2 separate regions of the Mus musculus genome follow, and region 1 is reported to be linked to region 2. Evidence: microRNA targets listed by miRTarBase, many of them from high-throughput screens and not tested one by one. Region 2 holds a microRNA gene; the other region holds the end of a gene's coding sequence.
Evidence for each region. The annotated mature microRNA mmu-miR-615-5p reads GGGGGUCCCCGGUGCUCGGAUC and lies in region 2 at 1,948-1,969, shown strand. An mRNA with a match to its seed (bases 2 to 7 or 8) in the 3' UTR can be bound and repressed. Matches are read on the target gene's strand: a 7mer-m8 pairs with bases 2 to 8, a 7mer-A1 pairs with bases 2 to 7 and ends in A, and an 8mer does both.

Region 1: miRTarBase lists Coq3 as a target of mmu-miR-615-5p. Seed matches in the 3' UTR shown: 7mer-m8 at 1,072-1,078.

Annotation. Positions count from the first base shown.
Region 1 is chr4:21,910,206-21,915,570 of GRCm38, forward strand. It overlaps Coq3 (coenzyme Q3 methyltransferase), which reads left to right. Exons shown (of 7, transcript NM_172687.2): 7 at 214-1,958. The coding sequence ends at 434. Among named protein-coding and RNA genes, the nearest start is that of Faxc, 18 kb to the right of the region's middle.
Region 2 is chr15:103,012,979-103,018,354 of GRCm38, forward strand. Mir615 (microRNA 615) reads left to right here and starts at 1,932; the gene lies at 1,932-2,023. Hoxc5 (homeobox C5) reads left to right here and starts at 1,030. Exons shown (of 2, transcript NM_175730.5): 1 at 1,030-1,557; 2 at 2,250-4,451. The coding sequence starts at 1,104. The coding sequence ends at 2,464. It also overlaps a transcript of Hoxc4 not described here.

The sequences.
Region 1 (5,365 bases), not on the chromosome of region 2:
TCAGAAGGGGACCGCTACAGTAGTCAGAGCTGGGCTTGGAGTGTGTATTCTTACTTGCAGTTAAGAATGATCAAGCATGACTGCAAAGCCTTGTTGTTCATTAAGTTGCTTACTTTATGTTAATATGAAGAGTGACTGTGTATTCTTGTGGTTTGAATGGTAAATGTTTATTGAGTCCAAGTTATTTGATTTCTTTCTCTTTTTTTTTTTCAGATGGTCTGTCAGTTGAAACTGTGGCAGGATTGGTCTATAATCCTTTCTCAGGTTACTGGCATTGGAGTGAAAATACCAGCCTTAACTATGCAGCCCATGCTGTGAGATCCAGGGCTCAGGAGCACCAGGAGCCTGCTGAGTCTGCTTTAAAGGGGGAAACAGGAGCACTCCATGCTAACACCTCCGGTAGCCCCAGTGTACGGGAGGAGCAGAGGACATGAGGTGCCTCCAAGGACAGCAGTAAATATACTTGAAATTGTGTTGTTTACAAAGTCAAAAATCTTACTCCATTTCGGGAGAGATTTTGAAGAACAAAAGGTCAATAAAAATATCTAAATCAATGGAGAAAAATTTCTGTGTCACCTAAGAGACACTTTGAAGAATTTTCTGGTGAGGTTTTGTCACGTGTGCTTAAGGTCTCTATGCTTTTACTGTAGAAAAGTGTGTGTTCATTTCATTTACATGTTAGGCATTTCTCACATGTGTAAACAGAAACATATGCTGATATTTATTGATTTCAACTGGAATCTCTGTTGTCTATGGTATTCCTTTATTTTAGTTAAAGATACAATGCCCTTGACTGATAAAAAAAAACCCAAAAAACAAAAAACAAAAACCAGCTCTAGTTTTTAATCACTGATATTTGGGAGTACAAAATATATTTTAAACCTAGGGTAGTGAGCATACGTGTACCTCCCTCTCTCCTTCCGTCTCTTCTCCCCTCCCTCCCTTAATTGAGTTCAGTTTGTGTGTTTCTTTTTTAAATATTTATTTGTTATATGTAAGTACAGTATCACTATCTTCAGATACACCAGAAGAGGTTGTCAGATCTCACGTGGATGCTGGGGTTTGAACTCAGGACCCCTGGAAGAGCAGCAGTCAGTGATCTTAACCACTGAGCCATCTCTTTAGCTGAGTTCAGTTTGTGTTGACCATCTTCTCTTGAGTATAGGGCCTACCTTGGAGTGTGGTTGATACACCAGAGATCACAGCATTAAAGGAAGTTGCCTTTTACCAGCAGCTATCAAATGCCAGTAGTGCCTCGGCTAGCGAGGAGCTACTTTCTCCGCTATATAAATAAAATACACTTTATCCTACAGAAAAATGGGATTCTGGAAATAAATGAGTTATTAAATACATGGTAGATTTGAATTCAAACATTAAAAGAAGTTCAGGTAATGTTTCATGTATAGGACTTAGTTCCGTATGCTGTTCTTTGAAAATGTTATGTCCAGGAACAGGAGAGATAGTTCAGCAGTTAAGAGCGCTGGTTGCTCCAGCAAAGGACCTGAGTTTTATCCCCAGCACCCCATGATGGGCCACAGCTATCTACAACTGCAGTTGTCAGGGATCAGACTCCATGGCTTTGGCAGGCACTCGTGTGATATACATACATATAGGCAAAATAACCATACATATAAATTAATAAAAATAACTGGTGGTGGTTTCAATGAGAATGTTCCCCGTAGGCTTGTATGTTTAAATTCTTGATCTTCATTTGGTGAAACTGGGAACAATTGGGAGATATGATCTTGGTGGATGTGTGTCACTGGTGGTGGGATCTGAGGTTTCAAAAGACTTCTGTCATTCCAAGTATGATGTCTGCTTCCTGCTTATGGCTTGGGTGTGAGCTCTCAGCAGCTGCTCCTGCGCCATGCCTGCCTGTGCCATGCTCCCTGCCATGATGGTGACGGACTCCCACACATCTGTAACTGTCAGCCTCAAATAAACCCTTCCTTCTATGAGTTGCCTTGGCCATTGTGCTTTATCATAGCAACAGAAAAGCAATTAGTGTAGTAACTTTAATTTTTATGTTTTAAGGAATTTTGTAAGTTACTTTAAAAATTTAGTTTTGAGAATTTTTTCTACAGTTATTATTATATGTAATTAAAAGTGCTAAAGTGAAGTTTTTTTCTCCGCTTGAAATACGTGAAGCTGGCTTTTTTCTCAAAGACCAGATGCTATGCAAGGACATCCACAGGGGGCATTTGCTGAGTGACGTAGATGGGAAACCAGTGTTTCATGCTGCAGCTTGTGTCTAAGCTAGAGCCCCTTTCACTTTTAGGTTCGTATGCTTAGTGTAGACAAATAACAGTTTAGACAAACATTTCCTCTGTTCTTAGTGTCATTTACAAGGACAAAACTGAAATTTGGAACACTAGAAGAGAGCCAGGTATGGCACATGCCTGTGACCTCAGGATTTAGGAAGCTCAGTGCCAGAATGAGCTCCATGGAGCTCCAGCCAGAGATACACAGTGAAACCTATTTTTTTTATTAATGATTTATTTATTTTAATTTTTATTTGCTTTGCTTTGGTGGTTTTCCTGCATGTATGCCTGTGTGAGGGTGACAGATCCCCTGGAACTAGAGTTATAGACAGTTGTGAGCTGCCAGGTGGGTGCTTGGATATCTGGGTCCTCTGGAAGAGCAGTCAGCTAGAGCTCTTAATTGTTGAGCCATCTCTCCAGCAGAGACATATTTTAAAACAAAGCAACAAAAAAATAGTAGAAGGAAAAAAAGACAGAAGAGGAGAGAAATTTTTCTTCTGAGTAATTAGGGTGAACAATGTGAATCTTACGACTCCCTTTGACCCTTTGATTCTGGGCCAGGGAGACGGCACCCCAGCACTTACCGCCATGCCTCTCAGTCTGAGTTTGATCCTTGGGACTCACATGGTGACAGGAGAAAACAGAGTCCCACAAGTGACCCTCTGACCTGTATACGTACAGCTTGGCAGATGTGTACTTGCACACATGTAAACTGTGATCCTGAGTCAAGGGTAGTAGCACACACTCATGTAGATTCAGGAGCATTAGAACTTCAGGGTTAGCCGGGCGTGGTGGCGCATGCCTTTAATCCTAGCACTTGGGAGGCAGAGGCAGGTGGATTTCTGAGTTCGAGGCCAGCCTCGTCTACAGAGTGAGTTCCAGGACAGCCAGGGCTACACAGAGAAACCCTGTCTCGAAAAACCTAAAAAAAAAAGAACTTCAGGGTTGTCTTAGTCGGTGTTCTATTGCTGTGAAGAGACACCATGACTGCAATATCTCTTATAAAGGAAAACATTTAATTGGGGCTGGTTTATAGTTTCAGAGGTTTAGTTCATTAACATCATAGGAGGGCGCATAGAGTCTCAGTAGCAGACGTGGTAGCTGAGATTTCTCTATCTGGATCTGAAGGAAGAAGGAAGAGAGAGACACTGGGCCTGGCTTTAGCAGTTGAAACCTCAAGGCCCCAGTCCCAGTGACAAGTTTCCTTCATCAAGGCCACACCTACTCCAACAAGACCACACCTCACTTGTCAAATATAATGACCAAGCATTCAAACATAAGAGTCCATGGGGGCCATTCCCATTCAAGCCACCATAAGTCATTTGTAATTACATAGTGAGTTCAAGGCCAGTCTGGATTACATGTGACCGTGTTTCAAAATACAACTCATAAGAATGAGAAGATGATTTATTTATAAGCTGAACTTTAGGAATGTTCTTATTAAAATAAATCAAGCTACTTTATTCTACTTGTTGGAATAAAAAATGTTGGTATTAAGAAATGTGTACTCAGAGACTGAGCCACCAACCAAAGAGCATACACGAGCTGGATCACCCCCAACCCCACTTCCGCACATACTTAGCAGACATGTAGCTTAGTCTCCATGTGGGTCCCCCAACAACTGGAATGGGGCTAACCCTAAAGCCTGTCTGTAGAATCCCTTCCCCAACAGAGAAACCTTGTCTGGCCTCAGTGGGAGAAGTTATGACTAATCCTGCAGAGACTTGATGCTGCAAGGTTGGGGGATACCCAGGGGCAGTCTGTGCGGCAGTAGACTATGCCACCAGATAGAAAAATTGGTAAGGTGGTAACAAATTCAGAATCCTGGTAAATTTCATAACAGAACGGCAGGAGTTCAAACTAGATCCTGACCAGGAGCACATGACCACAACACCCCACTAAGAGGACCATGACAACCAATCTCATAGCATAGAACCCAAGGTTCTCCATGCTAATGATGTATCTAGATAGGCCCCGAGCGTTTAGCCTATCTAATGAATTCTCCTTCCTGAGCATCCTTCCTTCAAAAGGTATGTAATCTTTGGTCCACCCGGAGTAAGATGTATGCATCTTCATCCGTCACGAATGTAACAGTTTGGGCAGGCAAGGATTATCTGCTTCATCAAGGACGGCTGCAGGGGAGGCCTTCTTCATACAGAGCTGTGCCTGAGTCTACTGTAGAAGCCCCCCTCTCCCCGCCCCCCTGAACTCATGACACTCGGAGGTAAGCCGGATTCATCTCTGTCCTAGGCGCAGCACTGGCCAGCAGGCTCCGATTCTCAACTCAGGGTTCCCAGGGGTGTCTAGGTGCACAGGAGTTTGAGAGCCACAGCCTCCACCCCAACCTCCACTGTCTTTCATCTGGAGAAACACAGGGTAAGGCTGTCTTAGACTGAGTTCTTGCCTCCCCTGAGTGGACAGCCCCAGCGAGGTGGAAATGCAGACACACAGCTGCCCCACTCTCTCAGAGGAGAAGGGGAGAGGGGATGAGGGAGTGACACTGGAGGGAGCAGAGTTTGGCAAGTTGTGTGTGTGTGTGTGTGTGTGTGTGGTGTTATTATGTATATATATATATATATATATATATATATATATATATCTTTTTTTATTTTTTTGAGACAGGGTTTCTCTGTATAGCCCTGGCTGTCCTGGAACTCACTCTGTAGACCAGGCTGGCCTTGAACTCAGAAATCAGCCTGCTTCTGCCTCCCAAGTGCTGGGATTAAAGGCGTATACATATATATTTTTTTAAGAAAAGGAATGTGTATTTTGGGAATTGATTAGAATGTTCTCCCCAAACATATTTTAGAAAGAGATTACTATTTATTTCAGTTGTACACATGTTGTTCAGTGCTGAGGGTTGAATATCATTAAGTAAAAACAATTTCTTTTTTTTTATTAGATATTTTCTTTATTTACATTTCAAATGCTATTCCTAAAGTTCCCTATACCCCCCCCCCCTCACTCCCCTACCCACTGTATACCTGTGCTGGGGCAAATAAAGTTTGCAAGACCTAGGTGCCTCTCTTCCCAGTGATGGCCGGCTAGGCCACCTTCTACTACATGTGCAGCTAGAGACATGAGTGCAGTCGGCTATTGGATAG
Region 2 (5,376 bases):
ACTTTTATCTCTGCCTTGCTCATAATATTTGTGGAGGTTTCAATCTTGCCCCTCTATGCTCTTGGGGGTCATCTGAAATATCTGGCATTCTCATGGTACCACATGAAGACCACACAGAGCTGTAGAAGGGCCCTCCAGTTCATTGTGTCTAGTTACATGCATAGGAATGTTGCCTCTTGCAACATGTTAGGGTTCCTAACATTGTGAAGTCTACCCAAGTTCACCTGGCCCCTCACCTCCAGTCACATCCCAGAGAGTACCTAGGACTCTCAGCCTCAGGACCTGTCTGCTGCTTCTGCTCATTCAGGAACCCTCTCTCCTCTTGGGTATCCTGCCTACCTCCCAGAGGTTAATTTTTCCAAGCATACAAGACAAGCTTCTCTTTATCAAAACTGAGTTCAATCCTCCCAAGCAAGAGACCTTGACCTTTAGTTTAGGTAACCCAAGATATGTCCTCCTGGCTCTCCACGCTGGGCTTTAGCTACCCCAACTCTCTTTCTCAGTCATCATTGAAGTTTGGAAGGCTCTGGAGGTAGGGAACTGGCACTATTCGTTTCAAAAACCACCGGTGTAATTCATAAATAAGGCCTCATCCTTTCTCAATTTTAAGCAGAATTTTAAAGACAAGCTCAATGGGTTAGTTTGTCCAACAAGCAACAACTTCTCCACAAACTGACTGCTAGAAGGCCAAGCGATGCTACAAGATGAAATTCCTCCGAGTCGGCACCAGGTGTCGCTGTGAGCTCGTTGTCCCGACTACCCCCCAATTCCAAGAACCATTTTTTTTTCCTCCCCCTTGCTTCTCTTTCTCTTTCATCCCCCCCCCCCCAACCCCCGGGCTTTGCCAACATATCAAGATGCGTTTCGCCGGCTTCCATCACTAACCTCCCGGAGGTCATCAAGCCAAATTTATGAGTGGCCGCTCCAGTCACGTGACTCTATTTAAGGCTCCCTTATTTGGGAAGAGCGCATAGGATAAAGAAAGAGATATCTCCACCTATAAATTGTGCACTTTGGAGAACAAAAACCCCCTCAACTTCAAAGAGTCACAAATCACCCTTAATCAAAAAGGGTGCAGAAATTTTTTTTGGGCCCTCCCCGCCATGAGCTCCTACGTAGCCAATTCATTCTATAAGCAGAGCCCCAATATCCCTGCCTATAACATGCAAACTTGTGGGAACTATGGATCGGCCTCAGAGGTGCAGGCATCCAGGTACTGCTACGGCGGATTGGACTTAAGCATCACTTTCCCACCGCCTGCGCCTTCCAACTCTCTCCACGGGGTAGACATGGCTGCCAACCCCCGGGCTCACCCCGACCGCCCCGCCTGCAGCGCCGCGGCCGCTCCGGGACACGCTCTGGGCAGAGACGAAGCGGCTCCTCTGAACCCTGGGATGTACAGTCAGAAGGCGGCTCGCCCGGCGCTGGAGGAGCGAGCTAAGAGCAGTGGGGAGATCAAAGAGGAGCAGGCGCAGACAGGGCAGCCTGCCGGACTGAGCCAGCCACCGGCCCCGCCACAGATTTACCCGTGGATGACCAAACTGCACATGAGCCACGGTAAACTTTAGGACTTCATTTTGCGCGCTCGGGTCCGCCTGGGTTTTATAGGCCATGCGGGGCAAATAAAGAAAAAAAACCTGCGGCCATAAATTTTACGATCCAGGCATCAATGGCTCGTAAAACTGTCCACTAAAAGGCTTAGAGGCTGTGTGCGCCCAAATTTACGACGACATAATTGGATCATAGGAACAAAACGTGTATAAAAGGCAATATTCAATTTTGGGGGGAGAGGGAGGGAGTTAAAAAAATAGAGGGATCTGAAGGGTGAGGAGCATGGGGCTCCAGAGTGGGGATCCCCCCGCGGCTCCCTCCCTCCCTCCCCTGCGGAGCCGGCTCGGCCAGTGCTCGCGGCTCCGGAGGATTCCAGCGACTCGGGAGGGGCGGGAGGGGGGTCCCCGGTGCTCGGATCTCGAGGGTGCTTATTGTTCGGTCCGAGCCTGGGTCTCCCTCTTCCCCCCATCCCCCCTCAGCCCCTCCGGCCGCAGAGTGAAGGCGGCGGTGGAAAGTTTCCTGCCCAGGCGGAGGCGCTTCTCCCGGGACCGGGCCTGCCCGCCTGCGGCCCTTCTGGCCTGTCCCACCGCGCTCACCTCTACTCCCTCCGACCACGGGTGGGGCCTGGGACTAGGGTGGGACGTTGGAGTGCTGCACGCTATTCATCCCTCCCTGGTTTGGGGGAATTTATGTTCCAGAGACGGATGGCAAGCGGTCCCGAACCAGTTACACGCGCTACCAGACCCTGGAACTCGAGAAAGAATTCCATTTTAACCGCTACCTCACTCGCCGCAGGCGCATAGAGATTGCCAACAACTTGTGTCTCAACGAGAGACAGATCAAGATCTGGTTCCAGAACCGCAGGATGAAGTGGAAGAAAGATTCCAAAATGAAGAGCAAAGAAGCTCTTTAGAGGAAGCAGGGAGCCCTCAGAGAGCACCCCGGTCTGCTGTGGTCCCTGCGCCCTTCCTTTTCGGTTTTCCTCCTTCTAGATTTTGAGGCGGAGGCTAGAGCACTGGCTCCGGGCCTCCCAGACAAAAGCGCATTTCTTTGGCATTCCGAATCCCCATCGACCCAGGGTTCCGCAGGACCGCCTGCACTGCCTGTCTTGCCTCAGCTCAGCTGAGCACCCCAGGCCCGGGGCACATTCTTGTAGGGCGGGTACTGGATAAGTCTCAGCCTGGGCTGCCTCTCTCGGCTCCGAGCCCTAGTTCAGCTAGCCTGAGTTAAGGTGAGACAGACTGACTGTAACCCCTTCTCCCCGACCTCCGCCTCACCCTCTTCTTTGTTCCTGCCTAGGCTGACCAGCCTGCTGAAGGCTGGTTGTGCCAGGCAGAGGCTATGACTAGCTAGAATCGGGGTGCTTTCAACTAACCTTTGTAACTTCTAAACTGTCTTTGCTCATTAATTATTTGCATATGAAAGAGGGAGATAAGTGAAAGTGGGCCTGTAACCCCGGAGGTTGTCCTATGCTCTCTATACCTTCCAATCCCCTTCCCAAAGCCCGGGAACTTCCCTAGCCTGGCTTGCTGCATGCACTCTCAGGTTCACAGTTCCAGCCTGCTAGCTAGCTCAACTATTGGGGTCTCTTGTCTTTGGACCCTAGCAAGTTGTTCTTTGAGGCTTTTTGCTATCCTATATATCTTGCCATGACTTTCTCACCTTCCTGCCCCATTGCAGTTGCCCAACTATTTATTGACTCCAAGCCCTTCCTGAAACTATATTTTGTCATATCAAATAAAGCCAGAAAAAGAACAGGACTAAAGATTCAATTACTTCTGTCTGTTTAGGGCATGCATTGAATTGATGTGTCTAAATAGGCTCTGAGATGTATTGGGAGGCCCAGTCTTTAAACCATCCCTTAAAAAATATTTTTAAACACCTTTAGGAGCAGCAAGAATAGGGAACAATGGAACTGAGTTCTTTTCTTGATTCATGGTTCCAAGAAGGGCCTCTGGGGTGAAGGGGAGTACACTTGAGGACTCCTGTACTGTTGTTTCCACTTGCTGTGTGTGTCTAAGTTACCCAGACTTTTCTATATCCTATTCTCAACGTTGGCTAAAACAACTTGAGACTTGAAGCTTCTAGACTGTAGTCTGTACTTTATGCCAGAGAATAGTAGCTCTGTGGCTCCACTGACTTAGATTCAGGCTCTTCTGGGTCTAGGTCATCCTTGTAGGTCCTTTCTGACATAGAAGAAAGGTTGAGTCCTCTGTCTAGATGCCAGAAGGATTCGCAGCAATAGTAGGTGCTGCTTGGTAAAGAGGTGTTGGGGAAGGAGAAATGGCCACGGTTTGAGATGTTCTTCAGCCTTCTAAGATATGGGATGGGGCAAGGGGGACTAAGGAGACAGTGAATGCAACCTGCAGTGTGTGCCTGCCTTAGAGAAAACATACAGACTGCTCCCTGTCTTCTAGGGTCTAAGCCAATGAAGGACAGTTAACTGGAATAAGAGCTGTATAGATCAGTGTGGGAGCCATGCCTGTTTGCTGTCATCTATCATATCTCTGAGATTTTGTATACAGGGGGAGGGTGCCCTATAGGAGAGGGTATGCAGCTAATTCAGGTGGGGCTGGCCTAGGCTGATGCGCTGCTTAGCTCCACTCCAGGCTCCAGGACTTGTTGAAGGAGGAAGTACTTTACAGGAGAAACAAACGCACGGAATGGGCCCATAAAACCTTACTGCATTTCCTCTCCAGCCTTCCACAATGGGGTGATTTCCTGGAGCCAAGCCTAGGCCCCCCACACTGGAGGAGTGGGGAATCTGAAACTGGGCTAAGGGCTGCTCTACACTAGGACAGAAAGGAAACAGAGTGGCTCTGGGGAGGGGCAGGGAGATTCCTTTTTATGATTATTAATGCTTATGCTCTTTGAATTTATTAAAGGTCTGACTTCACTGCATCCCACTGTCTAAGCAATTGTGTCTGTCACTTTTAGAAGACTCAAGAGCCTGTCCTCATCCCATGCTTAGCATGTAGGAGGTCTCAGCACATGTTTGTCAAGCTGCACCCCATTACCACCCTTCCCTTTGCTCTGTGCTCAGGCAAGGTTAGAACACTGCTAAAATCTCCCCTCAACTTGCACCCTGCAGACATGCAGCCCAGCCCCAACCAACCAACCCTCCTCTCTCTCTCTCTCTCTCTCTCTCTCTCTCTCTCTCTCTCTCTCTCTCTCTCTCTCTCAGAGACAGCCAGAGAGAGAGAGAGAGAGAGAAATAAAATGTGTGGTTTTCTTCAGGGAGTTATTTTAATTTTTTCTACATGCTGCGTAAAACTATTGGGTGAGCATTGAAGCATGAAGAAGCACTGGCAGCTCAGATGGGTAACAGTTAAATAAGGAAGAGGTTATGGTGCCCAAACTCACTGGTTCCAGCCTCCCAGACTTCAGGGGGACTCATGCTTCTTCCCCAGGGGGGCACACCAGGGCTTGATGGGAAGGGAATAAGGGTGATATTGATCAGACCAGACTGGCAAAGTTCATCAGCACTCTATGAGTTTTATCTTCCCCCCCCCCCCCCCCCCCGCCTTTGCAGGCATGAACCTCTTATTCCCTGGAGGAGCTAGCTGAAGGACTGTCTCAGCTTGCCCAGGCTTGAGGGGGTGGGACTGTGCCTCCAGCTCCCTTCCTTTCTGTCTCAGGTTTGAGCCACAGCTGCAGCAGTTCAGCAGAGGCAACCAAGGCAGAAGACACAAAGCCAGAGGCCTCAGACCTCCCCTTCACTGGGGGCGGGGGGAGGCCTAGAAATTTACTTTTTCTCTAACCAGAAGCTTCTGCTTGGGGTCTACCCCACCAAACTGCCCCTGAACCAACTTACAAGTTCCAGGC